4 linked regions of the Lytechinus pictus genome follow. The protein of the gene in region 4 binds, or shares a complex with, the protein of the main gene of each other region. Links are inferred from orthologs where the notes say so. Each region holds a gene or a part of one and is shown on either strand. Other genes may lie near its edges. The genes, in order: rapamycin-insensitive companion of mTOR-like, serine/threonine-protein kinase mTOR-like, target of rapamycin complex subunit lst8-like and target of rapamycin complex 2 subunit MAPKAP1-like.

Evidence for each region.
Region 1: the proteins of target of rapamycin complex 2 subunit MAPKAP1-like (region 4) and rapamycin-insensitive companion of mTOR-like are in contact, whole or in part, in a cryo-EM structure (PDB 7PE7), measured with the Homo sapiens proteins. The link is inferred for Lytechinus pictus from reciprocal best matches to the Homo sapiens genes MAPKAP1 and RICTOR. Residues at the interface, in NP_001006618.1 of Homo sapiens: Ala2, Phe3, Leu4, Asp5, Asn6, Pro7, Ile9, Ile10, Leu11, Ala12, His13, Ile14, Arg15, Gln16, Ser17, His18, Thr20, Ser21, Asp22, Asp23, Thr24, Met26, Cys27, Met29, Val30, Leu31, Ile32, Asp35, Val36, Ser84; in NP_689969.2 of Homo sapiens: Arg108, Gln137, Glu140, Thr144, Leu147, Arg148, Arg151, Lys152, Thr155, Arg182, Met183, Arg185, Ala186, Ala189, Cys192, Glu193, Leu196, Leu220, Arg222, Ile223, Glu225, Ala226, Leu227, Thr229, Thr230, His233, Asn236, Arg293, Trp295, Glu844.
Region 2: target of rapamycin complex 2 subunit MAPKAP1-like (region 4) and serine/threonine-protein kinase mTOR-like share a complex: the UniProt entries of both Homo sapiens proteins name them as parts of the mechanistic target of rapamycin complex. The link is inferred for Lytechinus pictus from reciprocal best matches to the Homo sapiens genes MAPKAP1 and MTOR.
Region 3: the proteins of target of rapamycin complex 2 subunit MAPKAP1-like (region 4) and target of rapamycin complex subunit lst8-like are in contact, whole or in part, in a cryo-EM structure (PDB 7PE8), measured with the Homo sapiens proteins. The link is inferred for Lytechinus pictus from reciprocal best matches to the Homo sapiens genes MAPKAP1 and MLST8. Residues at the interface, in NP_001006618.1 of Homo sapiens: Lys102, Cys103, Lys104, Asn105, Ile106, Gln107, Trp108, Lys109, Arg111, Asn112, Ser113, Lys121, Leu123, Phe124, Glu125, Lys126, Lys127, Ser128, Leu129, Gly137, Lys138, Gln139, Ser140, Ile141, Leu142, Val144, Arg145, Leu146; in NP_001186102.1 of Homo sapiens: Ala29, His30, Pro77, Ile78, Ile79, Ser80, Tyr81, Asp82, Gly83, Arg98, Arg110, Ile111, Trp112, Gln120, Cys121, Gln122, Arg123, Ile124, Asn139, Gln140, Ala141, Leu157, Lys158, Ile203, Glu206, Ser279, Gly280, Asp281, Gln283, Asp322.

The regions. Positions count from the first base shown.
Region 1 is NC_087255.1:32,403,519-32,411,404, reverse strand, and holds the start of rapamycin-insensitive companion of mTOR-like, read right to left. Parts: upstream 3,001-7,886; 5' UTR 2,943-3,000; intron 1-2,942. UniProt on the Homo sapiens protein: Component of the mechanistic target of rapamycin complex 2 (mTORC2), which transduces signals from growth factors to pathways involved in proliferation, cytoskeletal organization, lipogenesis and anabolic output.
Region 2 is NC_087258.1:3,792,250-3,799,888, forward strand, and holds the start of serine/threonine-protein kinase mTOR-like, read right to left. Parts: upstream 3,007-7,639; 5' UTR 2,822-3,006; coding exon 2,605-2,821; intron 1-2,604. UniProt on the Homo sapiens protein: Serine/threonine protein kinase which is a central regulator of cellular metabolism, growth and survival in response to hormones, growth factors, nutrients, energy and stress signals.
Region 3 is NC_087254.1:30,996,853-31,003,860, reverse strand, and holds the start of target of rapamycin complex subunit lst8-like, read right to left. Parts: upstream 3,018-7,008; 5' UTR 2,749-3,017; coding exon 2,635-2,748; intron 854-2,634; coding exon 802-853; intron 378-801; coding exon 215-377; intron 1-214. Other genes in the region: hexosaminidase D-like, read left to right, coding at 5,073-5,140.
Region 4 is NC_087259.1:8,588,654-8,596,324, forward strand, and holds the start of target of rapamycin complex 2 subunit MAPKAP1-like, read right to left. Parts: upstream 3,009-7,671; 5' UTR 2,964-3,008; coding exon 2,836-2,963; intron 1-2,835. UniProt on the Homo sapiens protein: Component of the mechanistic target of rapamycin complex 2 (mTORC2), which transduces signals from growth factors to pathways involved in proliferation, cytoskeletal organization, lipogenesis and anabolic output.

The sequences.
Region 1 (7,886 bases), on a different chromosome or scaffold from region 4:
AATAACACATTTGCAATAATTTTATTGCAAGACTTATGATCGATTTTGGGCCCTAAAATTGGCTTCCAACACCCCACAAGTCTTACAACAGATATTTTTTTAAACATTAAATATTAAAGGCAAATCATTTTGTAAAGGTGAACATGTACATGAATGAATTCAAAGGCTTATGACCTCATGTTTTTGCACTTCAGCTGTACAATGACAGACTGTAAGTCCAATCTCTAAAACCTATTTTTGTCCTATCACTTCAAACTTTTTTGTACACGTGCTGGGGGTAAACCAGTGTCAGATAGGCCTACACTTTATGACAGCCAATATACGAGGCATAGGATCAGAGTGACAGCAGTAGAGAGATAAGAAAGACTGTGTCAAGAACAAAGGCCAGTTTATCAGGCTTTAAAAATATCCTAACCTGTAAAAAAAAAACCAGGCCTAAGTTTGCACCTATTGTATTGTACTGTGCTTCAGATTCCCAAAAACATTTGTAAAGAAAACAAGAGGAATAAAAAAGAAATATGAGAAAGAATTATTTTGCTTTCCGATGTGTAGCTAATGTAGTACCTGAGGGACCGAGTCAAGAATAAAATCTTGAAATTATATTACGTACAAGACAGAAAAATGTAATGTCAACGACTTGTTTTTGTTTTTTGTTTTCAATTTTATGTATGATTATAGTACATGTACTTCATGTAGGCCTATCTGTCACATTTACATGACATTAAACTACCGGTAATCAACAATTTCACACTTTGTACTACAGTGTATAGTACATGTACAATTCATTCTTTAACTAGTGGTATTTCACCAAGGAAATAACAAACATGCTTCGGAAATGATGAGAAACCTGTCTGTACAAGGAAAACATATTTTCTTCACAAGAAACTAAAGTAATAGGGGGGAATAATCTCTGAATCTCCTGTAAATGTACTTTAAAATGATGCTACAGCCTACAAGTAACTGGAAAAAAACATAGGAAAACAAAAATCTTACAAATTGTGGGCATAAATCTAGAAAATTTAGAGGACATTTCTTATTGTGCAATTAATCATGGAGCTCAACATGATTGCAATTATGCAAGCACACATACTCAACATAGACCAATCAATCCACACTGTATGTCGATGCATGTTGAGTATGGTACATACATTGTACAATGAACAGTATGTCTGATACCTCACATCTATTTTACCAGTGATGTATGGATGCCAACATACTGTTTTCATATCAACTCTAGATATATATCAACATGATCACAATCTCAAACTTAAATCACAGCCTACTGTATTTTTTCCCTCTTCTCACAATCTGTGCCATACACAAAGTATTGTATAAAAGGTGTATGCACTTAACATTGTACCTGTTTTCATGTGCTGTGGTGTTATAAATTTAATTAGCTTTCAAGGATGCCAATTGTAATAAACTACCTACTTGTAAATGACGTACATGTAAATGACATAGGCCCTACATGTACAACAGTCAACAGAGTTAACAGCAGGCCTACAACCAGTCTCAAGTTAACTATGTAAACAAATAAATCTTAAAAGTAATGTATCAAATTTGTAGAAACTTGAGAGCTAAAAAAAGTTGTTAATCACAGAATTAAAGAATGGGAGGTGGTGCATCTTTCCCTAGCATGTAATCGGCTATTTTCCTTTTTTAAGATGTACTGTACAAGTGCATGACGTGAACTTCCATGTTCCATTCCCTTCCAATGAATGGCAACTAATTTTTTAACCATATTTTATGAATAATATTCTAACTTATTTATTGAAGCTCTCATGTGTGAGCCTACATGTACATAAAATTGTATGAGGCATAGATAGTGGACAAAGATCTTATTTATTGTGAATTCCTTATTTTAGATATGGATACACTGGTATCGGACAAATTTTCAAAACCAAAAAAGTAAAATGGCATACACTCAATTCTGAATTCACGAATGGGAAGTGCAGTAACATTTACCTGCATTATTATCTGGTTACCATAGCAACACAATTCATGCTCATGAGGAGAACATTTGAATGTAGGTTACATCCGAGGGTTGAAAGGGAGGGATAGATGACCTATATATCGGATCTGCGTCATATCTATATTTAGAACCATATGTGGGCACTGTAGCGCAGCCATGGTCAGTGGATCCGCTCTATGCTTTACAAATTCCTGTACATGTACAATTGCACATGTAAGCATGGTAGGCTTATTTACAATAGCCTGTAAAGGCCTCTTGCATTGGAAGTTCCTTTCTCTTTTTTATGTACATACATACTTGTATGCTTACAATGAATAGTCCTTTGAAATATGAATAAAAATCATCGGTTTCAAATCTCCTGGTATTGGGCATGATACTCAAAAGCATCTAAAACAAACCCAACTGTCCAAATTGTATGTAATACTAAATATTAAAATAATATGCTCCAAGCTTCTTTTTTTAATTCAATGGAATGCATCTGTACATCTTTATACAATTCAAATGATGATAAACCATAAGCCTTCTAAGACCAAGGCCATCAAGTGGTTATATTGAACATGTATGAGCTCATCTTGTGTGTTTGTGTAAAGTCTCCCAAAATGAATGAAAAAGTGAACAAAATCTCTATTTTACAAAAAAAAATTCCCTTGATTTAGGTCTAAAAAGGGATCCTTATGTTGAGTGTGCTAAAAAAGAAGCGACTGGTTTTTCGCATTTTACGGTCGGTCGGACGAGGCCAACATAACAATCGATTTGGTTCATTCTTATATAGTCAAACCTGTCTCATAGCAACCACCTGCCTATAAAGTGAAAACCTGTCTTTAGTGGCCATCAGAATTGTCTCCTATTTGAAAGAAATATTTTATAGAACCTGTCTCTACAAAAGGCCACTTGTATTCAGTGGCAACTCTCTCTGTTTCCCCTCAGTAGCCATAATAGACAGGTTTGACAATCAAGATGGAATACTTACCAACAAATGACCTCTGCAACTGAATAGCCCAGCTTGTCAAGGTTGGATACATGGTTGATAAGCTATGTAATCAAAACGAGAAATTATACTTGTAATTAAGATGAAATCTACATGTATTATTTCCTCAAAATACTAAAATTTATACATTTAGAACTCAATAGAAGAAGTTTGAAAGGGGAGCATTTCATGGATCAGTTTGGGTTTTCACTGACTGTCAAAGTAAATGATATCCTTCAATATGATTGGCTCAGAGCAAAATTGTAGATGAAAATTCACTATTTTTCACATGAAATATTCTACTTTTATAATAGAAATTGTGATTTTTTTTTCAATTATGGTCATGGGCAGAAGGATAGACCTGATACAATCAAATTACCCTTTCACAAAACGAAAGAAACATATTCAGAATTTTGTTCAACAATTATGTTAATTTGATCTTCAATGAAAACTAAAATGGCAAGATGACATACAGCTGAAATGGGTGACATTCACCTTATTCAAAAAAATACTTAGTATTATATAAGTTGGGTATTAACTGTCAAACCATATTTTTCATACTTTTTTTTCTCCAAAGTTGACACTACACTTCATTGTCCCTTCAAACATACTTTTTCAAGTTCTAAATTTAATGTCAGCAAAAAAGTGCAAACAAACTTTACATGGGTGTTGTTTTATAAACATCATGGAATCATTCCCATCAAGAACAATCAAATTGGTACACGCCTCCTCCCGATTCATAAAAACATCCTCTTGCCAAGAATGGGAGGGTTACAACCAACATTTCCTCCAAAACAAAACAATTTCCTAACAACTGTCAAAGTCAAGGTTAAACCTATACACCCTCAGCTGTGCACTACAAGCCCAATTCACATTCTCCTTCAAAAACCAAACGTAAAACCTGTCCAAAGCTTAGGTTCCAATTTCTAAATGGCAAATCTGTATTCTCTGGTGACTGATATTGCGGAACAATATAAAAAATGCTAAAAGAATGTAAGTTTCATGCTGATAAAGTTTGTGAATGAATTTTCATGTTCACTGAATTCTGTGAAATTTTACCTTTTTCTGTATTGTGGAAAACTGTGGACTATATATGTACATGTACATGTAGCTAATATATGGAAAGGTTTGAACAAAAATACATGATTTTTTTTCAAGTCTAGTGACCCTTATATCCTAATTCATCAAATGATTATTGGTGGTAATTTGAGTTTGACAACAGATACATTCTCTTGTAAAGAATGCAATGTAATCATTTTTGCTTTATGGAATTAATTAAGAGTGTCCAAACATTCATCCTATAAATTTAAATAGTTTGTATCAGAAAAATAAATGCTGTTATAAATGCAGATATTGTATCTGCAAAATGCTGTCTTATTTTATGCTTGACAAGTGGATTTATACCAAAAAGACAAAAATTAACCTTTGTCTCAGACCCAACTTTTTAAAATACACAACAATACAAATTTTGCTTGTTATCAGATTTTATATTGCATATTTTCTATTTTCGCATGAATGTTTTTGTGATAAAACTTCATTTCATCTGAATATCAGAAAGTTGAAAATGAACATTCATATAAATTACCAAAAGTTGATGTTGGTATTTCATGTCACTTGTATGTTTTTCACACTGCACATATTTTCTTTAACCCCTGGAAATTGGTGGGGCTCAGGGGGGGGGGGGTTCTTAGACCCATCAATTTCCTGGGGTTAAGCTTTACTTCGGTTTCACACTACGTTTTAGCAAAGTGGGCTAGCACGGTAAAAAGTATGGTACTACATGTACATGTATCTGGCCCTGCAAAAATGCAGGGTTAACCGGTTTATTGCAGTGCTAGCACCACGCGGTGCTAAGAGATGCAGGGTAAAATGAAACTGGGCAAAGGAAAAGGGGGGGGGGGCTATGCATTAGCCAATCACAGAAGTCGAAATTGCAAATGTGGCAAAATCGTCAATATTCATGAGCTGTGCGATAGTCCGGGGTTAAGGCATTAACCCTGGCTAAGCAAATAGCATGGGGTTAAGAAAGACAGTGTGAAACCAAAAAAAAAGATAGTATGGGTTTAAGGGTAGTCTCGTTTTTTTTATAAGGATAGTATGGGGTTTAGGAAATGCAGTGTGAAAAGCATATTGGCGTACTGTTCCTTCAAACAACCCAGGCAAAAAATTACACAGGGAATGGGGGTAATTTAGCCCCTGAAATGCTAAAAACAAAACGAGCCCTGGAAATGCCCATTCATTGCAATGTAGAAACTTAACCAATGTTGCAGACTTACATGTTAACGTTGTGAAAAGAAGCACCCAAATTAAAAAGGATATAAAAAAAAATTGCATTCAAAACAACCATACATATTTTTATCTCTTTTGTCTGAACACAGGTTGCGATGAGTGAAGAGGATGGATACGGGACAGGCATGGCTATTTCTCACGTGTGTGTCATCACCAATGCCCCTGGTTATTAGCCATCTACAATCACAAACATGCAACTTACATTCGACAGCTATTTCAACTATTTGACCTTACACTGTACATGTATATGTATATGAAGGCCCTATATTATATGTTTATGCACCCCTCCCCCCCCCCCCCAACCTCTTCTACACTCTGGATGTTGAAGAAAGGTATGGCATAATTTTCAAATTTTGCTGTATTTAAATGATAATAATACAGAATACTGCTAGAATGCAATCAAGAGACTCAATGATATTACACATTCTTTGGTGAAATTTCAAATATTTTAGTTTCCCAAATGATCCTAGAATACATGTAAGAAAAATCATGGTCATTTAAACTTATCTTCAAAATCAATACTATAAAGATTTGGATAATGGATACAGTATATTTCATGAAATATATAATGGGTGTTTGACATCATAGAGTTCTGCATTTGTATTTTGAAAAGAGAAATGCCTTGCTTTCCTATGTTTCACATTATAGAATTTGATGAAATTTTGAGTGTTAAAATGCATTGCTGTATTTGACTATTAATATTTAGAAAGTCAAAAAGGGGCCTAAGCTTTCGATCCTAGCAGAATCTTCGTCGGAGGCAAAATGACAAACATATAAAGTGGAACAACCATAATATAGACCACAAACAAGCTACAGCAACACTAGAAACAGGGAGACAAAAGGGGCATTAGTGAGTAGAGAAGACCAATCAGGTTAGTGAAGGGGATGAAAGAAAAGGAGTAGGCAGACACAAAGGGAAGTTAGTGTAAGTAAGGCCAGTAAAAGACCTCAAGCCAAGAGGGATTAAAATAATGAGGCAGGCAACATCAAACAGGATCTGGAACAAAACAGTGATAATGGGATGAAAAACAAGAGAATTAGTGAGAGGTGGGTCAAACAGGTTACAAAGAAAGGCTTAATAAACTGGTGCATAAGAGTGGGGGGAAAAAAAAGGAAAAAGAAGAAGAAGAAGAATGGGGAACAACTGATAATGTGCAAAAGACATATAAGTATATATGATAAAGCATTAAACAAACTAAGAGAAGAAGGTAAGTGTAAATATGTATCTATAAGTGATATGTATATAAATATATCCAAAAAAGAAATGTATATGAAAAAATATATAAAAACACATATGGTGTAACTGATATTGTAATCCGCTAGGTGTGACGGGAAAAAAACATAAGACTATATAGTAGGGAAAAAAAAAAAAAAAAAAAAAAAAAAAAAAACCTGTATATGTGAAAAAGAGGAAGCAAATTGCCTAAAAAGGTAAAAGCAAATATAGAAGAGAGGGGGTGTATTATGAAGAAACCATAGTATACATGTAAATAAGCAAATGTGGTAAATCTAAAAGAGGTGAGTGGAGAAAAAACAAATATATATATATATATATATATATATATAATAATTATTATATCGTCTGAATAAGGAAGGAAAAATTGGAGCTGAGCTTGTATGAGATATGGGAGGAAAGTAGAGTAAGAAACTATAATGTGACTATTCAAAAGAGCTGAGGGGAAAAATTATATGTATATATAAATTGAAAGTGGATAGGAAAGAAAAATCAGTCGTTCCCCTCTTGGATGTTCAGGCCATGAGGTTGGGTGGTGCGAAGTCGTCTCATCCAGAGCTTCTCCCTGCTAGTACGGACTGAGTCAGGACGGGTACCTAAAGATTCGATGCCCTGTAGCATCATGTCAGTGATGGAGTGGTTGGGGAGGTTAAAATGGCGGCCAACTGGAGTGTCCAGCTTTGCTGTGTTGACGGTGGATCTGTGCCCGTAGAATCGTTTCTTGAGTGTGGTCTTGGTTTCCCCTATGTATTGTACCCTACAAACTCTGCAAGTGATGAGATATACAACATTAGTGGTAGTGCATGTGATGTTGCCCTTGATTTGGTGAGACAGGCTGGTAGAGTTGCTGGTGAAAGTATCGCCCTCGTGAAGGTGTATTTCACATATGATGCACCTGTTGCTGGTGCATTTGAAGGTGCCATGCTGTATGGGAGAAGAATGGTTAGTGAGGGAGGGCACTTCAGCACGAACAATGAGGTCCCTGAGATTCGGTGGGCGTCGGTATGCTAGAAGGGGAGTATCGGGAACGGCCTGTTGGAGACGATCAGAAGTGTGTAAAATGTGGTGGTTATCAAACAGGATTTTGCGGAGAGGGGGTAGATTGGGATGGAAGGTGGTCACAAGCGGTATTCTGTCGGTGGTCTCCTTGTCACTTTTTGGTTTGAGAACTTCAGATCTGGGGAGAGAACGAACTTTGTTAATTGCCAGTTGGACTGCCCTGGCCCCGTTATTAATATTTGAATCAATTTTGGTGGGATGGATACGGTTTATTTATACACAGGAACTGCACTGAATGTGGAATTGAAAGCTGTACCAACATATTCATTATTTTTTCTCTTTCTGAACATACATTGCTGCCATTTAGGATAGAAATTAACTGCACAAGTTTCTCCCATTGTGCACTGTCACTACTAGAGTTTACA
Region 2 (7,639 bases), on a different chromosome or scaffold from region 4:
ATCCTGAACAAGATTCGTATGTAACTAGATGGTAAATGCGAACGCCAAGCGCGAGCAGAAAATTTTATTAACTGTTCTAGCATTATCGAAAAGGGACCTGTTAAGGACTGCTTACAGTTACCCACGAAGACGGTATATATTTCAATAATGCGAGCGCGAAGCGCGAGCAAATTTTTTTGACATTCCGACCTAAAAAAATTGTCATTCTAAGCACTTATTGTATTAATAAATGGGATAGGTATGTAACTAAACAATTGATGCGAGCGCGAAGCGCGAGAGGAAGAAAATTTAGATTTTAGACCTAAAAGCGGGACACTCTATTCATATTTTGTAAATCATAAATAGGATATAGTTAATTGGGTATCATTAATAATGCGATCGTGAAGCGTGAGCAGACAATTATTGATATTCTGATGTGAAACTGGATAATTTTAATATAAAGAACATGCAGGCTATCGCGCATGTTTTTGATTTAGACCTAGAATCTGGGCCGTCTGAATACATTTGTTTATGGAATACACGTAGACAATAGGAACTTGGCAAATCAAACAATTTGACCACACAGCGTGAGCTTAAAAATACTGATATGTAGACTATAAAAGGGACATTTTACAGCTAGAGCACTTAATTTTTTTAATGAAAAAAAATTGATGAAAGCTCGATGTCCGAGCTAAAATATATTTTGTATATTGACTTCAAAACTTGCTCCATATCAGCCTATTGAGCAAGATATGAATCTCATCGAACAGGCAATTCTGGCGCGAAGCGCAAGCAAAAGTTTTATATAATAACATGAAAGATTTTTTTTTTTGCAAGTCTTCCCTTCACATTATTTCATTCACTCGTCTTCCTCCTCTTTTTTTCTTATGTCGTTCTTCTTTTTTTCCTTTTTTCTTTTCTTCTTTCTCCTTTTTTTTTGCCCTGCCAATTTTTTCAGGGGGGGGCACCTGGGGGGGCACACCAAATCTCAGGGGGGGCACGTGCCCCCCCAGGCCCCCCCGTAGCTACGCCACTGTGCATACAGCTGTGCTCTAGATCTAGCACAGCCTATTCAGACTCAGGGAGCTGCGATAAAAAAATGTTGCTGCTGAGAAATCTTCCACAGAACTTTGAAAATCTCAGTCAAAGTCACCTTTTACACCAATGAAATGCAATTCTACAGTCTATATTACGAAAATCTGGCGTACCCTGATTATTTGCAAGTATTAAGAAGAGGAATTATGACCTCTCTTTTGACTCAAAAAGACCGATTTCCACATGAATTAATACACATAAAAACACATAGGCAAGTACATCACAGTCCCACGTGTGCATTTGTATGTATGTTGATACTTGGTTTCTTTCGAAGCTGTGTATTTTCTAGCCTTAAACAAACAGACAGTTTCTTTCTTTCTTGTTATAAATGACTTCTTAAACCACTCTTGAGAAAGTAAATACTTTGGGAAGGCATTTCATTGATATGAAATGTGATTTTTTTTCCTACATTTTGGCAAATATAGGGAAGGACTTTTCTCACACTTTTTTTCCAGATATAGTTTTTGCCGTTTTCTTTTTTTTTTTCCTTTTTTTTTTACAGTGGTTAAACCATTTATACCCCTTCCTATTGAATATGCCTGATTAAAAATTATTTTTCTACTGAAAATAAAATAATACAAACTAAAGGATATAAAAATAGAAATGTGCCATTCCCAAAAGGCAAGTGAAAATTATTTGCTTGGCTTTTAATTATATTCCAGTCAGAATAGACTGTTGCCACAGCTGTTAAAAAATATATGTAATGGCTTCTTAATTTTCCCCTTTTCCCCATTTTTATATTAACTTTGTTTTATTAATTTTTCTTTCATTTTCTTTTCTTTTTTCTATCTGATTTTTTTCTTTTCTTTTTTTCTTTTTTTCCCTGTTCTTTGTTTTTTTCTTTCTTCATTTTCTTTCTTTTGTTTTATTTCACTAATTTCTTTTATCATTTTTGTTTTCTTTTTGTTATATACTTTTTGAAAATTATTTTTGCTTGTTTCCCCCTTTTATGCATTATTCTAATTTTGCAGCATATTTTTCTGTGATTTTCGCCTTCTATAATATGCTGCAAAAGAGAAAACAGAAATAAACTGGATTTGGGGCATGCATAATCTAGGTTTTAGGATTCAAAGAGGAAGGAAGGAAAAACCATTGTTTTGTACATCTATCTGAGTTTGCTATGCACTATTTATTTACTTTACCATTATCTCTATACAGAGAGTTAAAAAAGTCCACACAACCTGCAAACAATACAATTCATTTATTCACTTTCAATCATTTCATTTTTACAACGATAGAAACAATTATCAAAGTAAAATAACAGCAAACAAGGTTTACATACAAGATGTATAAAGTGAAAGTAACTTAGTGGTAGTGGCTGCAGAATTAATATTTCAGAAGTTTGTTTTATTCATTTTTAATGTTTTTCTTTATATTTTTCGGGCCACCAAACTTTAATATCGGGCCACCAAAAAAAATTATTTGATGGTTTTGGTGGCCCGAACGGGCCACCACCAAAAATAGTTAATGTGGAGCCTTGCTGTACACACACCTACAGGACATTTAAATCTATTCGTTCTATGCACTCACCAATTGCTAGAATTCCACCTTTCTTCTCGTTCACGTCCTGACTTGATACCAACTCAAAGATGTGGTGGTTGAGATCGTCCATAAACGAAGTGCGCTCGTCCGCCGAAACTTCCCGCAGCTCGGTGCTCACGTAGTGCTGCAGGTTTTTCGCTGCCCTGGTGCGAACATCGTCGTGTCTGCTCTTCAATCCGCCGACCAAACTATTCATTTGTGACATTTTGACTGATTTGAAAGTACCCAATCCAACTCTGAATATGCTATATCATGTCTGCAACTTTAAAAGATAAGATGACCATGAAAAGAGAAATTCGTAGTCGTAGATTATAATAATTGACGCCTCTTTTCTCTCGGCTCTCTCTCGCCACGGCCTCAGCTCATCATCTCTTCAATAACAGGAAATGCAATTTGACCTGTGACACGCATCACCGATAGAACAAATTTCCCGAAACTGAATCTCAATAGACACTGGAATTTCCTTTTTTTCTTTAATCGGACATGAAAAAAGCGAACCTACACAAGTTTGGTCCAAGTGTAAGTGACCAAAAGTCCAAATCAAGGAATTAAACTTTTTTTTTTTAAATAGCAACAAAATTACAAAATGCGAGCGCGCGGAGCGCGAGCAAAATTTTGAGCTAAAAACGGGACAGTTCTGAAAAGTGAAAAGTCTATCAAAATTTTGTTTGAAATTATGATGTCTATTTTTTATGTTAAATGATGTTCTTAAATCTTATCTTTCAAGTGCCATTAGAAAAACAAGGAAAGGATTCATGTTTTTCAAAGGCACCACAACCTTTCATGTAGCACAAAATGAAATCATTTTAATGAATTGCAAGCTCTCCCATTAACAACGCAAACCCCCTTACCTAGGTTAACGATTTTATGAAGGAATTTTCAGTATTAAAATACATCATATTTTGAAAAAAATAATGATAAATCAAGTAGGCCTAATTCAATAGTTTTGTAAATGAATTTTGACAGAATAATTATGACAAAGACAATTTAAAGGTTAAGATCGAGGAGTCTGCTGATTAGCACGAAGTCTGATGATCGATATTTTCTCATTTTCTGCCATTTTGGCGCAAGTCTTAATTTTTTAACCCCTGACAAAAAACGTTCCATGTTTGCTCAAGCATGAACGAAACTTATTTTTCTGATGGCATTTGAAAGATAAGACTTAAGAGCATATGAACATCAAAATAGAGACATTATGATTTCAAACAAAGTGATGGACTTTTCAAAACTGTCCCGTTTTTATTGATACCCACTGTGGCTTATGAGGCAAACAAAGTTACTACGTTTAATTGTAGTTTAATTGTAATTTTCGGATTACCCGGAATTACCTGGAATTTTTTCATTAATTGAAAATGATCGGGATCGTTATCCGGCCGGAATTGCACAAAAATATGTTTCTATGTAATCTACGCACCAGGGGCGGCAGAACGTATTTTCGTTTAGGGGGCAAAGCAAAAAAAAGGCACTTATTTTGATTTGAATTTATTTTTCTTCTACATAACAATATAATATAACATAAATGTAACAAACATACACTCTAAATTACAGGGATTTAAAATAAGTCTAGATGGATTGTAGTTAGGGACCAATCGATTTCTGGATTTTGTTTTAATCCTAAAGACTTAAATTTAAATCTCAAATGATTTAAATTCAAATTAAATTTAAATCTTTCGAGATTTAAAAAAGGAATCTGAAGGATTCAATTAAATCCGGAATTCGATTGGTCCCTAACTACAGTCCATGTGGACTAATTTTAAATCCCTGTAATTTAGAGTGTACATTGACAATAAATCAGGTATAAATCATTTAGCATAAAATTAATAGCAGAAGATGGATTGCCATAGTAAGCAAAAAAATGCTTGAAAAATATGACAATGAACCGAAACATATTTTAACCATATAATTATATTATGAGCAGAATGGACAATAACAAATTATTAAAGTATCAATTAAGTATAATATAAAAAGAGAAGAACAAAATCTAACAAGCCAAAACTTGCTATAATATATATAATCAAGTAAAAAAAAAAAAATGATAATGATAATGACAAATGAAGAAGATGAAGATGATGATGATGATGATGATAGTGGTGACGGTGGTGGTGGTGGTGGAAATAATGTTAATGATGATGGAAACGGAATATTAGAACATGATTATGACACAAGAAAGTTTATTTTACATATTCCGATAGTAACATGACCTTAACTTTAGCTTTGAATGAGTGTAGGGAGCAAGAGGATTTAATTGAGTCTGGGAGAGGATTCCAAAGGTCAGGACCATGAATCTTTGTCTTACGGATCTCTGGGCAATACGTAGTTTTGGATTGACTAAATGTAAATTAGAGGAATTACGGGTGGGGTAATCATGAATGGTTTTATTCAAAGTATAAAAAAATTTTAATGAATTTGGTAGCATCCCATTGAAATACTTGAAAATGAACAATAAACTTTGTAGTGTATTAATGTCAAATACTGTCAGAGTTTTTAATTGGTAAAATAATGGTTTGGAGTGAGATGAATATTGTGAACCGATACAAATGCGAAGCGCTTTCTTTTGCAATAAGTGAATAGAATTTATTTTTGTTTTGTTTGTTGTGGCCCATACTAAATTGCTATACGTTATATACGGTAAAATCAATGAATTATAAAGCAACGCAAGTGTTTTGCAAGGAATACATTTCTTTAATTTATATAGTATACCAACATTCCTAGAAATAGAAGTTATTATATGGCGTATATGTTCGTTCCAATTTAAATTTTCGTCAATGACGACACCCAAAAACTTCGTTTGATGCTTTCTTTCAAGAGGAACATTATCTATAAATATGTTGTAATGTACGTCATTTATATGAGATTGTATGTGTTTAAAATACATGAAATTAGTTTTGTTGATATTCAGAGACAATTTGTTACATTTAAACCATAAAGATAATTTCAGTAACTCATTATTTAGTGTGTCAACTAGGGTGTTAAGGTTATAATATGAGTAAAATATGTTAGTATCATCTGCAAATAATATAAACGATAGAAGAGAAGTTGTATTAGTTAAGTCATTGATATATAATTAAAAAAAGTAATGGGCCTAATATCGATCCTTGTGGGACACCGCATCGGATTGGTAGAAAAGTTGAAGAAACATCATTAAATACAACATATTGTTTTCTATTGGTTAAATAGCTTTGAAACCAGGAAAGAGCAACACCACGAATTCCATAAGAGTAAAGTTTTTGAAGTAAAATTTGGTGGTCAATCGTATCAAAGGCCTTTGATAGATCCATAAATACCCCTATTACATGTTCTTTATTGGCTATAGAATCTGTTATTTTATCATATAATCTAATCAGTGCAAGGTCAGTTGAATGACTTTTTCTGAAACCATATTGATTTGAATTTAATAAATTATGTGTATCCAAAAACTTGTATAGCCTCTTGTAAATAATCTTTTCAATGATTTTAGATATACTAGGGAGAATCGATTTAGGTCTATAATTACTTATTTCATGAGGGTTGTCTTTCTTAAAAATAGGATTTACTTTAGCAATTTTTAAGCACTCTGGACATTTCCCAGTATTGAGTGAGAGATTAAAAATATGAGTCAGAGGGGGTGCAATAAAATGTATAATTTTTTTATATAGGCCGGCTATGTCAAAATTGGCATTTTTGTGCAACCCGATATTCACCATGAGATCATCATCTGCGTGAAGTAGTTGTGTGTAGTGAAAAGTAAAGTCCACCCCTGGAAAATGTTGATTTGATTAAAGAGAGAAAAATCAAACTAGCAAAACGCTTAAAATTTCATCAAAATCGGATGTATATTAAAGGAGAATGAAATCCTTGAAACCAGCTGAATCCATATCAAAGAGAAAAATCAAAGAAACATATTGTTGAAAGTTTGAGGAAGATTGAATGAATAATAAGAAAGTTATGAGCATTTGAATATTGAGATCACTAATGCCATGTTGATCTTCCCATTGGCAATGCGACCAAGATCTGTGATATGTCACACACGTACAACTCCCTCATTACTTTAGTACTTATTTCACTTATTCTCACTTTTATAGTATATCACAAGGTGAGGTGTTCTCTTTATGAGAGGACAAGTCCGGGGACAAGTACAGAGGTTTCACAACATTATATCATTGATGAATCGTTTGTCATATGATGAGAATGATCGAGCAAAAAGAGATGTTTTGGGGTATATTTTCAGTGTCCAAAAGGGGAGAGTTGTTCATCTGTGACATCATAGATCTTGGTCGCATTGCCAATTGGAGGATCTCCATAGCATTAGTGATCTCGACATTCAAATGCTCATAACTCTTCTATTGCTAGTCCTATTTTACTCAAACTTTTGTTGATCTTATTCTTTGATTTTACTGCTTTCACAAAAGCTAACTTGCTCCAAGAGTTTCATTCTCCTTTAAGAAAGTTATGACATTTTAAAGTTTTGCTTATTTGTCATAAGACAGTGAAATGCACAACTCAAAGAGGCAGACGATGGTGTCCCTCACTCACTATTTCTTTTGGGTTTTTTTTGTTTGAATTATACAATATTTCATTTTGTATAGATTTGACAGTGAGGACCAACTTGACTGAATCATACAATATTTAAAGGTCAAGTCCACCTCAGAAAAATGTTGATTTGAATCAATAGAGAAAAATCAGACAAGCACAATGCTGAAAATTTCATCAAAATCGGATGTAAAATAAGAAAGTTATGACATTTCAAAGTTTCGCTTATTTTTAACAAAATAGTTATATGAACGAGCCAGTTACATCCAAATGAGAGAGTCGATGACGTCACTCACTCACTATTTCTTTTGTTTTTTATTGTTTGAATTATACAATATTTCAATTTTTACGAATTTGATGATTAGGACCTCCTTGCCTGAAGCACATGCAAAATGTTAAAATAATGGAATTCCACGTGTTCAGGGAGGAATGAAACTTCATTTCACATGACAATGACAAGAAAATCAAAATATTTCATATTTCATATAATAAAATACAAAAGAAATAGTGAGTG
Region 3 (7,008 bases), on a different chromosome or scaffold from region 4:
CATAAATTTTCTCATTTTCCACAATTAATGTTCATCCAAAAGAATTAGTCACCAATGTTGATGCCTTCTATAAATAAAAGCAACATCAGAACCCTACATAAAATGATGCAATCAATTGTACAGTCAATGGCATCTGTCAGTATACAAACAATCTAAAAGGAACAATCAAACTTAATATTGATTGCATCTCTTTTGTTGTACAACACCTTCATACCTGAGATCCCATATCCTAGCAGTGCAGTCCTCTCCACCTGTGAACATCCATTTGCCTTCCTCCTGGAACCCAACCGATGTAACATTCTTAGGGATTCCCTCATAGTTGATGATTGGTGTGGTGTCTCCTGAGTTGATATCATACATACGGATGTGCTGGTAACCTATAAAGAAGATGACAAAATACCGGGGGTGAATTTCTTTGAACTGAATTTTAATATTTTAAAAGTTCATTCCAGTGTATGCTTCTAGGGAAGAACTTAAGTTAAAATAATTGATAGAAATTCAGTCTTCAGAGCAGTTTTTATATTTTATGCAAGGAGCATGTCTATTTTATTTCACCAAAGACATTTATTAATACAAATTCTGTTTTTCACAAAACTCTGAAATAACATTACCGCTCTTTAATAGAGCCTAGAGGTAAAAAGTACTGCTATCATTCACGATCACAGCAATCTTAGGAGTCCCCTTCAGTTCTTCATTGAAGTAGTGTGTGACAAATATGGAACACAAAGTTGTAGAAATGTGCAAATAGTTTAGAGAATCTGTGATGGAGAAGCTAAATCTGTTTTCCATATTAATACTCACCTGCAGCAGCTAATAAACTCCTGTCCGGGGTGATTTCCAAATGATTGACTTGCTGTGGGTTGGAAAGAGGAAAGGATTATAATGAGTCAAATGACAATAATAATGGTAATTAAACTGGGCTTAAATTAATCAAATGCTATCAAACACTATGGGTGCTGATTTAACTCAATGCCCTTCTCATGATCACAAGTCTTGAAGATTTCCAGTGTTCTTTTTTATATTTTCCATTTGTGCTGCAATATAGAAAAACACCCTTGCCATAAAATTAAAGAAATTTAATGTCTGATTTAATACAATTACAATAATCGCAATTACTTCCCTAATTTTTAATCACCCCCTTAATATATTATGGTAAGCAACAACTCAATCAAAGCAATATAAGCACTTAAATTGGCATCTGTGTAATTTTATGAGCACATACAGTATAGCCTATGAGTTACAAAAAAAAAATCATACATTTTATATCACCTACATCTGCCAAAAAACGTGACTATTTCAATTACTTGCTCTCCCAAACCACTATTTTCACCAGCAAATAAATTTGAGTACATACACAATAGACATGTTTTTTTTTTGCTAACTGATGTACAGAGCATTGAGCAACAGCTGGTTGATATAAAGACTGTTCTTCATCGCCGTCAATCTCAATTTTCACAACTTCAACATGAACATGCTGCTGACTGGTTAATGCTTCCAAGCTACAACTTTCATAGTTTCGAATTATCTACAGAGTTGACTAAAACCCATCACAGATTTTAAAGCTATGAAATAAACAGAAAGCTTGCTATTTGTGGTACCTTAATAAACAAATATTTTACACATGAACCACAGTTTCTACATCAGTGTTGAGGCTGCTTAAAAGTAGTTGTTTTCTTAAGTTTAGAATGTACATGTACATTGAGAGTCATAAAAAGAAATGCCAATCAGATTGTACATCTTAGCACAGAATTCATGAATAGTCAAACACCTTGGCACCCATTTTTTTCAGTGGGAAAATGTGGAAATCAACATATCACTGACTAGATATTATATTTTTGAGAATATGACTTTGCAAATGTATTTTGGCCCCTTAATTTTCATCATCTTTCTATGCAAATTCCCCTTGGCTTAATAATACAATTAGAGGGTGGCAGATGTCTGCCGCCCTCTATATGCCGTAGCGTCTCGTATCTTAGCTACTAACAAAGAGAACAAGATGGCCATGTAAACATCGCACCGGCAAGTTTCTTTCCTGTCTTTTCATAATATTTTTCTCTTTTTTTTAAAGAATAATTGTTTCAAAATGAAATCGAAATTGTATAAATGTTGGAAATTAATTTCTAGCCCATTTACATGATTTAGATCTTTTACAGGGAAAGTAGAAATCTCGGGGCAAAATTTGCAATGTTGACCGCGGTATATGCACATGAATGGGGCACAATCCCTGGCTCCACTCATTCAATGAACAAGGTTATGATATGCCTAGCTCCATGAAATAAGCACACGTTAGTGTATGATTTTTACTCTCTAGGAGCCTCCTGGCTAACCCCAACCCAGGTCAGGATGGACTGATTCAATGGCAGGGACATTACTTCAAATTCAAAGGCCAAGATAAAAGGATTAAGTAAAATTTGAAGAGGAAATAGATATAAAAAAGCTACTATGTCTAGGCCTATTTCTTTTTTCTCTTAAAGCAAAGAGCTACAATGCAACCCCCCCCCCACCCCCCACTCACTCGCCACCCACCAACGACATCACACTTTCGCATCGGACACGCCCTCTTCAAACTCTTGACCGACTATAACCTTAATAAAAAATCCAATAGATTACCACACACAATTTCATGAAACTCACCGATTCTTGATGTTGGACAGTGCGGTGGCAAATACCCGTGTGTGCGTGCCAGAAACGAATAGTTTGGTCATAGCCGGCAGTGGCGAGAATTATTTGATCGCTTGGATTTCCCATTTCTGTTTAAAACTGCTAAGAAGTAACCAGCTGAAGGGGAATAGAGAGAACCAGACTAATCAAAGAAAGCAGCTTCCGCACTGATCATATGAAGGTGCATTACAGGCTCGGTATGGTAGCCCTTCTCGTAAAATGAAATCGCATAGTCTATCCATGAGCTTACGGTACAAAATGATACCAGTCTTTTGTTTGTAAACAAGGCGAAGACCGTATTAGCTTGCTAGCTAGCTCGATCGCGCAATTACATCGGCAGCATCCATATCCAGGCCAGCGCGAGGGCGGAGGAGCTAGAGAGCGCGGCGCGGCGCGCGCGGCATGCAGATCATGCCTGCATATCATGAAAAATACTCGTACTCAGCCGTCAGACTACAGCAGCTCGCTAGCATAGCACGCCACTTTGCAATGTGCTTCTCGTTCTAATGCAATACTGTGAAACGTTAAGCCGACGCTGACACAACTGTTGGAAAGCGAAAGTTTGAATGCATTTTTAAATTTTAGTGGAAGAAAATATGGATATTTAGCCGTCAATACTAACGTTATACTGGTTCTCAGAGACAGAGTTGAACTGTGTGTAGCCTGTAAGGCTGTAGTGACAGTGTCACTGTCACGTCAGTGAAAGGGGAAGTTCAGTACTGCGGCGGTCCGAATTCCAATACGTGCCCGGAGCCAGCTGAGAAAGTTACATAAGCCAGGTTACAAAGCCAAAGGTTCAGTTCTGGACACAGGATCTTCTGTTCCTCAATGTCCAGCTCCTGGTGATAACCTGGGAAAACAGGTAAAAGTTAACTCTTGTGATTGTCAAATGTACTACAAATAAATAAGAATATGTAACTCAGTTGAACTTAACTTTTAAGTTAACGTTACATGTTTTAATTTGAATTAGTTTGAAAGACATGATCGATCATAACTGACAGAAATAATGTCAGGCCCTACCAAACTCGAGCTTGAAAAGTTATTTCTAGACCCCTATCTCGAATGAAGCTGAAACTTTTACCTTAAACTTGAAACTGGAAGACGTACAGAAGAGACAACGGGCAATAGAACGTATTACTTAGGCATGTTAGGACTTTGGAGAGTTACTCAGAAAAGTCTTAATTGGTTAATTCACCACTTAATGTACATGATTACATGGGTAATCAAGTATTACTGAACATCATGCCTGAGTTTCAGGTTACATGACTAAGGTCAAAGGTCATTTAGGGTTAATGAACTTAGACCATGTTGGGAGAATCAATATCGAAATCTTAACCAAGGTTAAGTTTTTGAAATGTTGTCATAAGTATATGGACCTAGTTCATAAAACTTAGACATAAGGGTAATAATGTATCACTGAAGATCCTGCCTGAGTTTCAGGTCACATGATTAAAGTCAAAGGTCACTTAGGGTCAATAAACTTTGGCCATGTTAGGTTTTTTTTAAGGAATTGTCATAACTTTAAAAGTTTATGGATCTAGTTCATGAAACTTGGACATAAGAGCAACTATGTATCCCAGAATATCATATGCAAGTTTCAGGTCACATGACCAAGGTCAAAGGTCACTTGGGGTCAATGAACTTTAGCCATCGTAGGGGTATTTGAGGAATTGTCATCATAACTTTGAAATTTTATGGATCTAGTTCATAAAACTTAGACACGCAGTGTTTACAAGAGCAATCAAGTATCCTTGAACATCCTGTGCGAGTTTCAAGTCATATGACCAAGGTCAAAGGTCATTTAGAAAGTTTATGGATCTAGCTCAATGACATAAAGGTAATCAAGTATGAATGAGTGTTTTGCACATGTCTTAGGTCACATGATCATGGTCAAAGGTCATTTTGGGTGAATGGACATATTTTATTATTATATTAGTGTTTTCTTCTACGAATATTTATTCATTAGCTGTTTTCAGAGGCAGCACTGCTGCTATATCGAATTGCGTAATGCAGGCGAGACTGCTAGAGGCGTTCCACTTGTTTTAACTTGCCTTCCTAATTTCTGCATCAATTGTGTTTACACTTGGTAAAAATATCATTGGATGATACCACACGTGTGTCCACTAGAATGATCAATAAGATCAAAGTCATTTAGGGGTCAAAAGATCATTTTGTATAATTTATTGATGGAGAAATCAGGCGAGACTCATGGTTCACCACCTTGTTTGGAAGTTGTGTGAATCACATTGCCTAGGGCCGTTGGGTGATTTATAATTTATTTTGAGTTATTTATTTGTAGATCTACTATAAAAGAACGATTTTCCTCCCCCTTATCTCTACTAGATCTGAAACAACATTTATGCTGTGACTCATACTACTACTAGCTGGAGATTTTTAGAATTTCATTCAAGATGGAGACCCAAAACATAATTTATGGAGTTCCATCTCAAGCACTTCCAATGCCTGATCAATATAAAAGGTAAGTCTACGCTGGATATTCCCTTTAGACCTGATCATGCTTAACAGTTTTATGCATAGGCCTACCTTTATTTAATAAATAAAGGCTCTACTGATCTTAACAACCTCAAATCTTATTGAAGAATGTCCAGACCTAGCATCAACTAAATTATATGCAAACTGGATTCTATTCATTGTTTTGTATTAGCTCACAGGAAAGAAACCTGTAGGGCCTATATAGATTTGAATTGGTAATAATTAAGTTTCAGCAATTCAATCATAAGCTGATATGGCAACACCTGGTCTTGCATTTTGCATAACCTATTGAAATTACAGTTTTGTGTGTTTATTCTGTTTGGAAGCTCACTGCCCCCCCCCCCCTTCCATCCCATAAGGCCATCATCATGAGTTAAAGTGCTGTTAAGTCAGATTCATCTGAAGAGGGTTACCACGGGCAGCCATGTTGGATGACAAACAGAAAAAACCTGTGCTTCAAACTGTGATTAATCATTGTTTTTATGGTCTAGCAATTCACATGACTCCCATTGTTCTGTCCTCCAACATGGCTGCTTGTGACATATTTATATTTGAGCCCTGTATAGTAATCAAGACTATTGTGGGTTGAACTGTCTCAAAGTAATTGTGTATTGCAGTATCAGTACTGCAATGCACAAATTGCTGAATAAGATGGAAGAATTGTTGCTTTTTTCCTAGGTATATACTTCTTAAAAGTAAAAAGGAACTTGAACAATTACAATGATTCTCTTCACCTTTCTCACAAGTTCATTGCACAACTCATTCACTTTAACATTTACAAAACAAGACCTGCTTCAATGTACATGTATTACAAATGCATGGATGCTAGTGGTTGTCAAGGAGATTTCATGATTATACTGGTGGTGATGATAGTGGTGGTGGTGGCGATGACAAAGGTGATGGGGATGGTGATGATAATGAGTTTGGTGGCAGTGGTGGAAAGTAAGGTACTGATTTAACAAAGGTTCAGACAATGATGATGAAGGTGTTGGTTATAGTGAAGATGATGCTGTTGGTGGTGATGAAGATAATGGTGGTGGTGGCGATGACAAAGGTGATGGGGATGGTGATGCTAATGAGTTTGGTGGCAGTGGTGGAAAGTAAGGTACTGATTTAAAGAAGGTTCAGACAATGATGATGAAGGTGTTGGTTATGGTGAAGATGATGCTGCTGGTGATGATGGAGATGATGTTCAAAGGTTGTGACAGTGATATTGGTGGACTGGTGGTGGTTTTGATGAGGATGATGGTGGTGAAGGTGAAGGTGAAGATGATGATGATGATGATGATGATGATGAAGATGATGAAGATGATGGTGATGATGATGATGATGATGATGATGAAGATGATGGTGATGGTGATGATGATGAATTGATGATGATGATGATGAATTTTTGAGCTATCATGGTTTTTTTTTCCATGTACCTAGGAGTTGGAAAGAATATCATGAAAAGTGGTTCAATGCCAAGGGATGCTTTTTAACCCTATAGCACCTGAACCGCCCGAGACCGCCCTTCCTATTACACACTGAACCGCCCTTAACCGCCCGTACGTTTTCTTTGCGCTAGAGTATCTCTTATCTATGATTTACCGTGGTAATATTGCGTGTGCATACCGTATAGGTTGGCTGCTATATAAATCTGCATAGAAAAGTGTATGCTCCTATTGAGTATAATAGAGAAAAACCGATTGACATGCATCGGTGTGTCAAGTTCCAGACTGTTGCGCAGTCGATCTCAGCAAAGATGGCTGCGTCCATGTCTCGGAAAACCACTTACTTCGCCGAAGAAGCTTGGGCGTAGCTATATGTTCATCAAAACGTTGGATATCACACAGAGTGACATCTAGATGTGAG
Region 4 (7,671 bases):
AAACATTCTAAGGCGCGATAGCTCAATCGGTAGTGAGGGGGTTTCGGATTCCGGTGGCCTGGGTTCGATTCTCACTTGGCGCGCTAGTGCCAAGTAAGGCATTTTAATCCTATAGGTCCCTCGGAGGGTACCTTAAGCCATCGGTGATCTGGTTGCTTGCTTAGAAGCATTCACGCTTTCTTAGCAAATGAGGTAAAACAAAAATCGTCAAATCATGAACAATGATCAGTATTTAATTATAGCATTTGATGCGAGCGCGAAGCGTGAACTGAAAATGTCGAATTAAACGAAGGATTTTAAACATGTTTTTAATGTAGAAAAAGATGAATATCTTACTTAACAAAAACGTTAGCGCAAAAGCGCGAGCTAAAATTGGGAGAGACTAAGAGCTAAAGATTAGACATACAGTATTCACATTTATTTAATAATGGACTGGATGCGACTGGATTCTGAGAAGTTGACACTTCAGGCGAGGTTTTTTTAAAAACAGATAGCAAGTTGTTTATCTCATATATTAATGCCAGCGCGAATCTCGAGTCGAAAATTTATTTGCCATCTTTTTGTAATCCCGTGTAGGGTGCCTATCTCGCTAAACCACAATAAAATATACACTAGAATCGCCATCAGAATACTTTGGGTATATTACAGCGGCGTACCCAGGATTTTCCAAAGGGGGGGGGGCAATTTTTTTGAGGACATTTCGTCCGCGAAAAAAATTACAAGAAAAAAAAAAGTTTTCAACCACAAATAAAGGATTTTGTACCAGAAAAAAAAAAATCGTCGGGGGGGGGGGGGGGGGGGGGGGGGCAGGGGTACGTCCCCTGCATTTGTTGTGACTCGTCGGGGGGCAGTCTGCCCCCCCCCTTTACGCTAGTGGTATATTATCTTGAAAACGGGATACTTTCAGCTCCATGTAATCCTTTCGGACACTACACATGACCTTAGGCAGCGGGGGGAGGGGGAGGGGGGAAGAGCCAGTTGCGGCCAGAAATTTTGTAAATCGTTTTAAGTATGTACTTATTCATGTAATTATGTCAATAGTTTACAGTATCTTCAATTTTACATTCAAAATGCCCCCCCCCCCCCGCTAAATTTTGCATGCCCCCTTTCGGAAAATATTTCTTCCATCTTACTTGAAAATTCTTTTAATATTTGTGACATTATAAACGATCGATATTCAATAATTGAACCAATTTAAATCGAAGAATTTAAGTTGTAAACAAACTTAGAACTATTGATAGTGTTCACAAACTTCTATTTTGAGTAAATCACGATTTTTTATGTCATATTGCCATATATGTGTGTGTAATATTCCAAATTGAAATGCATATTTAGTAGACTTATAATTTGAAACTCTGAATAAAAATAATTCCATATCAAAGATAATCAAAAATATGGTGATGATCCGTCAAAATATCAAAATGCGTGATTTTCGACAGTCTTTCAGATTTCACGCTAAAAATGATACTTTCACGCAAAAGTGCACTTGGCATCCGCACGTACGTTATTCCTCAGTATTTCCGCAAGAATTTGACTGGGATGCAAAGAATTGACAAATTGTGCTATTCAATTAAAAACTCGCTTTAGTGTGTACTTAGTAATTAAAAACTCGCTTTAGTATGTACACTTATACATGTAATTATGTACATAATGTACGGTATTTTCAATTTTTCTTTCAAAATGCGCACCTGGTGAAATGCACATTGTCTCCTTTCGGATAACATAAAATGAGATATATTCCATCTTACTTGAAAATTCTTTTAATATTTGTGGCATTAGGACATTTACTATACATTCGATTGAGAAACGCATTTAAATCGAAGAATTTAAGTTGCGTAAAAAACTTTTAACTATTGATAGTTTTCACAAACTTTTATTTTGAGGAAATCGCGGTTTTAAGTTTCCCTGTGCCATATGTGTGTGTGTAATATTCAAATTTGAAATGCATATTTATGAAACTTATAATTTGAAACTCTGAATAAAAATAATTTCATATCAAAGATAATCAAAAATATTAAAATAATCCGTCAAAATATCAAAATGCGTGAATTTCGACATTCTTTCAGATTTTACGCTAAAAAGGACACTTTCACGCAAAATTGCGCTTGGCATCCGGCCGTACGCTATTCCTGGGTATTTTTGCAAGACTATTAGCTGGGATGCCAAGCATTAGCAAGCATTAACAAATTTTGCCGTCCAAAGTATAAAAAATCGTTTTGGCCGGTCTACTTATATGCACATGAGTCGATGATGTCCCTCACTATCTATTTTGTTCGTTATTGTTAGAATTATACAATATTTCGATTTTTACAGATTTGACACTATGAACCAATTTGACTTTACCATAAACTGTTAAAATAATGGTAATGCAACATGTTCAGGGAGGAATAAAAAAAAATTCACATTACAATGAAGAGAAATTTATAATTTTTCATATTTCATATCATGAAATACAAAAGAAATAGTGAGTGGGTGACGTCATCAGTCTGCTCATTTGCATATCAACCAGCATACTTGTGCATATACCTGTTTTGTGAAATGAATCAAAACTTTCAAATGTCATAACTTTCTTATTTTACATCCGATTTTGGTGAAATTTTCAGTGCTATGCTTGTTGGATTTTTCTCCTTTTTATTCAAATCAACTTTTTGTTGGGGTGGGTTTATCCTTCAACATGCTGAAATCTTCAGCTAGCATCACCTATAAATAGAGCGCATAATAATCTTGATTTGGAAAGATTGTAAAAATACTGTGAACAATGTAACGACTAATCCCTGGAAATAAAAAACTGATTTTAATTTTTCACAATAGGACAAGATGCTATTTCTGACTAACTTGAGTTCTGGCTGTAGACCTTTATTCACATAGTGCCAGCAGATGAGACCGATCAGATCTTGGACTTTGGCGTTGTTTGTCACGACAACCTTTAAGAATCTTCTATCAGGAATGCTAGGTTCGACCATCGTTAAAAAGATTTCGATGCGTTTCACGCCTCCTGCACCAGCATGACCCTTCAAGAGAATAAAGTGATGAAGAAATCATTAATAAAATATTGATCAATAACACCTTATTCCCCCATCACTATCACCATCACTATCACCATCATCATCATCATCATCATCATCATGCATCATGCATCATGCATCACCATCATCATCATCATGCATCATCATCATCTATCACCACCATCATCATCATCATAATCATCATGCAGCAGCATCATCATTATCATGAGCATCATCATCATCATCATCACCTTCATCATCACCGTCATCATCATCAGCATCATCATCATCATCATGCAGCAGTAGTAGCAGCAGCAGCATCATCATCATCATCGTCACCATCACCGTCATCATCAGCAGCATCATCATTATCATCATGCAGCAGTAGTAACAGCAGCAGCATCATCATTATCATGAGCACCAGCATCATCATCATCATCATCACCATAATCATTTCATCATCATCCATCATCATAATCATCATGCAGCAGTAGTAGTAGCAGCAGCATCATCATCATCAGCATCATCAGCATCATCATTATCATCATCATAATCATCATCACAATAATCATCATTTCATCATCATCCATCATCATGCAGCAGTAGTAGCAGCAGCAGCATCACCATTATCATCAGCATCATCATCACCATCATCATCACCACCATCATAATCATCATCATCATCATCATCACAATAATCATCATTTCATCATCATCCATCATCATGCAGCAGTAGTAGCAGCAGCAGCATCACCATTATCATCAGCATCATCATCACCATCATCATCACCACCATCATAATCATCATCATCATCACAATAATCATCATTTCATCATCATCCATCATCATGCAGCAGTAGTAGCAGCAGCAGCATCACCATTATCATCAGCATCATCATCATCATCACTGTCATCATCAGCAGCAGAATCATCATTAACATCATCATCACCACCATCATAATCATCAGCATCATCATCATCATCATCATGCAGTAGTAACAGCAGCAGCATCATCATGAGCATCATCATCACCATCATCACCATCATCATCACCATCATCATCACCACCATCATAATCATCATCATCACAATAATCATCATTTCATCATCATCCATCATCATGCAGCAGTAGTAGCAGCAGCAGCATCACCATTATCATCAGCATCATCATCATCATCATCATCACTGTCATCATCAGCAGCAGCATCATCATTATCATCATTAACATCATCATCACCACCATCATAATCATCATGCAGCAGTACTTAGTAACAGCAGCAGCATCATCATCACCATCATCATCATTATCATAATCATCATCACCATCATCATTATCATTATCATCATCATCACCATCATCATCACCATCATTATAGTTCCATCAGCATTTCGCCTCTTACAAGTTACAAGTAACCTATGATGCTTTTGAAATACTTCAAATGTTGCAAAAACCTTCCCATCGATGTAAGTTACATTAAAAAATACAAATAAAAAAGGCAAATACTGAAGTTACATCAGAACAAGATATGAAAAAAACAAATACATCATTCATAAAATATTCAAGCGCAGATCTATACCCAGCGAGCCACAACTGGCAACCACCAATAAGACTGATGGCAGAGTAAAACAGATACTATTGAATTCATTATGAGTTGTCATGTAATTTTCCCATGATAATGCTATAACTTGGAAGTCATTTAGAGTTTTGTAAGGTTTTTATCGGGGCTGTACCTAAATAGGGTTAATGGACATTTAAATAACGACAACAACTACAAACACCCTTGGCAGTCTCACATAGATTATACAACTTGGCTTAAAAATTAACAAAAAATATCTCTTTATTAAGTAAGGCTGAGAAAAGATGTGTAGATGAAGATATAGAAATTGCATGTTTTTTTATAACATCTTGAAAAAAAGTTAGATCATAATCACTCATACTTTTCTCACTCCATATCGATGTCCCTTATTACTTTGTACTAGAAAACCAGTTCCTGATTCTAGTATCAAGAAAATAGGCACGCTTTCTAAAACTATACTGGAAACCGACTCAGGAAACCGGTTTGGAAGATCGCTTTGCTAGCGTTCCCACTTGATCACAAGTGGAAGAGCCATGGTGTAGTGGTTCTGACTCTCGCCTTGTAAACAGAGGGTCGTGTGTTCAAATCCCACGGCGGTTTAGCGTCCTTTGGCAAGGCGCTAATCCACACTTTGCCACTCTCGACCCAGGTGCTAAATGGGTACCCGGTAGGATGCAAAAGATATTGTTTGATTTTGCGAGCGCCATAATGAGGCTGCGATGAATGCAAGGAATGCTCCCCAGGGAGTGGAAATTGTGCACTTTTCATGCGGGATTGAAATGAATCCAATGACCGGGGTAATTATGCTGTAACGCGCTTTGAGCCATTCTGGGAAAAGCGCTTTATAAAAATTGGCTATTATTATCACACGAAAGTGGTTTTCAAAATCACTTCACGTATAGCGATCTTGTTGCTATAGAAATGCTCTCAGTGGGTGACACGTTTCTCGCGAAATTCAAAACTGCAGCGTAGGCATTCTACACCTGTCATGTGGAGTAGCACGCTCAAAATGTGCGAAGATCGCTTCCCGAAGAACGGTTGTGTTCTCACTTGCGCTAAAACCAGTTTAACGAGGCAAAGTGATCTTGAAAACTACATCGCGAAGTGGTTTTTTTGAACTCGTTTGAAAGATCTCTTTGACCATTCTCACTACACATTAAACTAGTTTCCCCCTAAACTAGTTTCCAGTAAACTAGTCTTAGGAAGATAGTGAGAACGGTGTCCGATTTGAAACATTTTCTATCTTAAAATAATAGCAATAACTAGGAGGAAATCATAATGCCAAATTTCAGAAAATTTCCCAATTGTTTATGTTATATTAAGTCCTTCACGAATAAGAATAATATAATCAAAAGTCATTATTACAGGCCTTAAATTGACAATGCAGTGAAGTGTGAATTTATTTACTCAAAAGAGCAAAAAGTGCATTTTTCTCATTTAATTTTGCATTTTTGTTCAACTCTTAACATGCCACGTTAATTTGTATTGAAAAAAAGTAGATTTTCTTTTTAAAGTTTAGAAAGATATAGAAAAGCCTTGCTTGGTGTAATTGACAGGACTGTATGAATATTATGGTCCTATAGTCCTACTGATCAAGCCTGGCTGGGCCATTGTGACATATTTTGTATTAAGTTAATCAGTTAGACAGACAAAATAGGCTTTAGTTTTATGTCTTGTCTCCAAGCTACCTCACTCAGGTGAGCATATTTACTGACCTTATAAAGACTACACACATAACAATATGATTGTTGTCATTTTTAGGAGCAAGCGCTGGAGATATTCCCAACATCTTTTCCTCTTGAGCCTACACGATCCCTTCATCAGTGGGACTAAGTACCTTCCATTAAGTTTAATGAATGCTAATTGATGGAGAAATCCAATACAAATGCAGGGGATGATAAATGGGGGAGGCTAAAATCTTGAACAATTAACAACCGCTGACAATATTCAAAGGAGCTCCAGTAATTGTTTTAATCTACCGTCGAAGACATTTTGTCAGTCTTCATCGGGAGCTCATACCACTTCAAAATTAGTGTGCCATCTATAATCATTAAGTCCATGGTGAAAGACACTTGCAATCGATCGCAAGTCGACCTTGTATGTCCAAATCAATCGCAAGTCATTAAATCACAATTAATAAAAGGGATTGTTTAAAGTAACCTATCTGTTGATAAGTATGCGTCTGACCAATAGAAAATGATCAACATCAACCAGCATTTTGGTAGATTCAGACCAATAAATTAGTTGATTTTCACCATTTTTTGTTGTCCGTCAGACAAACTTTGCCATGGCTGGGATTTGAACCCATGGCTTTTGTTTTTCAGGGTCCAGGGACTAATCCGCTGGGCTGCTCCACTTGTTCGTATACATATTCTTGTAATAATTGCATCTATCATCATTCTCTTGGGAGTTATAGTTTTCCATCAATTTTTTTCACTAACCACAACTTACCTACTGAAAACAATAAGCAATAGCTTTTTATTTCAAATCCAGGCAATTATACGTGTAGGGGGCTTGGTAATTATCGTACCCTTCTCTAATCTGTAATATACCAAACCCCCTTGCAAGCGTGCTGGCTTTTTAACAAGTCTTTGGCATGACTTGGTCGAGACTTGATCCAACAACCTCCTGGCGCAAGGCAGGCACTCTACCACTGGGCCACCATGCCGTGGGAAACCATGTACCAGGGTTCCCAGCTTTTCAAGAAAACAAAATTCTCTGATTTTTTCCCTGATGAAGTTTAAAAATTCCATGATAATTATTTAAACCCATTCCCAGTTTCGCATGTTTTCTAAGTTGTCACAGTGAATTACATGTATGTTCAGTATAAAACAACAATGTAAAACTAAATAGTACCACCATAACCAGTCATTCAATGGATGTTGTTTTGATATGCAACAATATATAACAGAGTCTGACTGACTACAGTGCTTTCGACTTTTGGGCCGATCGAGATTCCCTGATTTTTCCCTCATTTGAGGCATTTTTCCCTGATTTGGAGTATTTTATATCAAATTCCCTGATTTTTCCCTGACTGGAAAAATGTAAAATTATTTTCAATGATTTCCTTGATGGGCTGAGAACCCTGA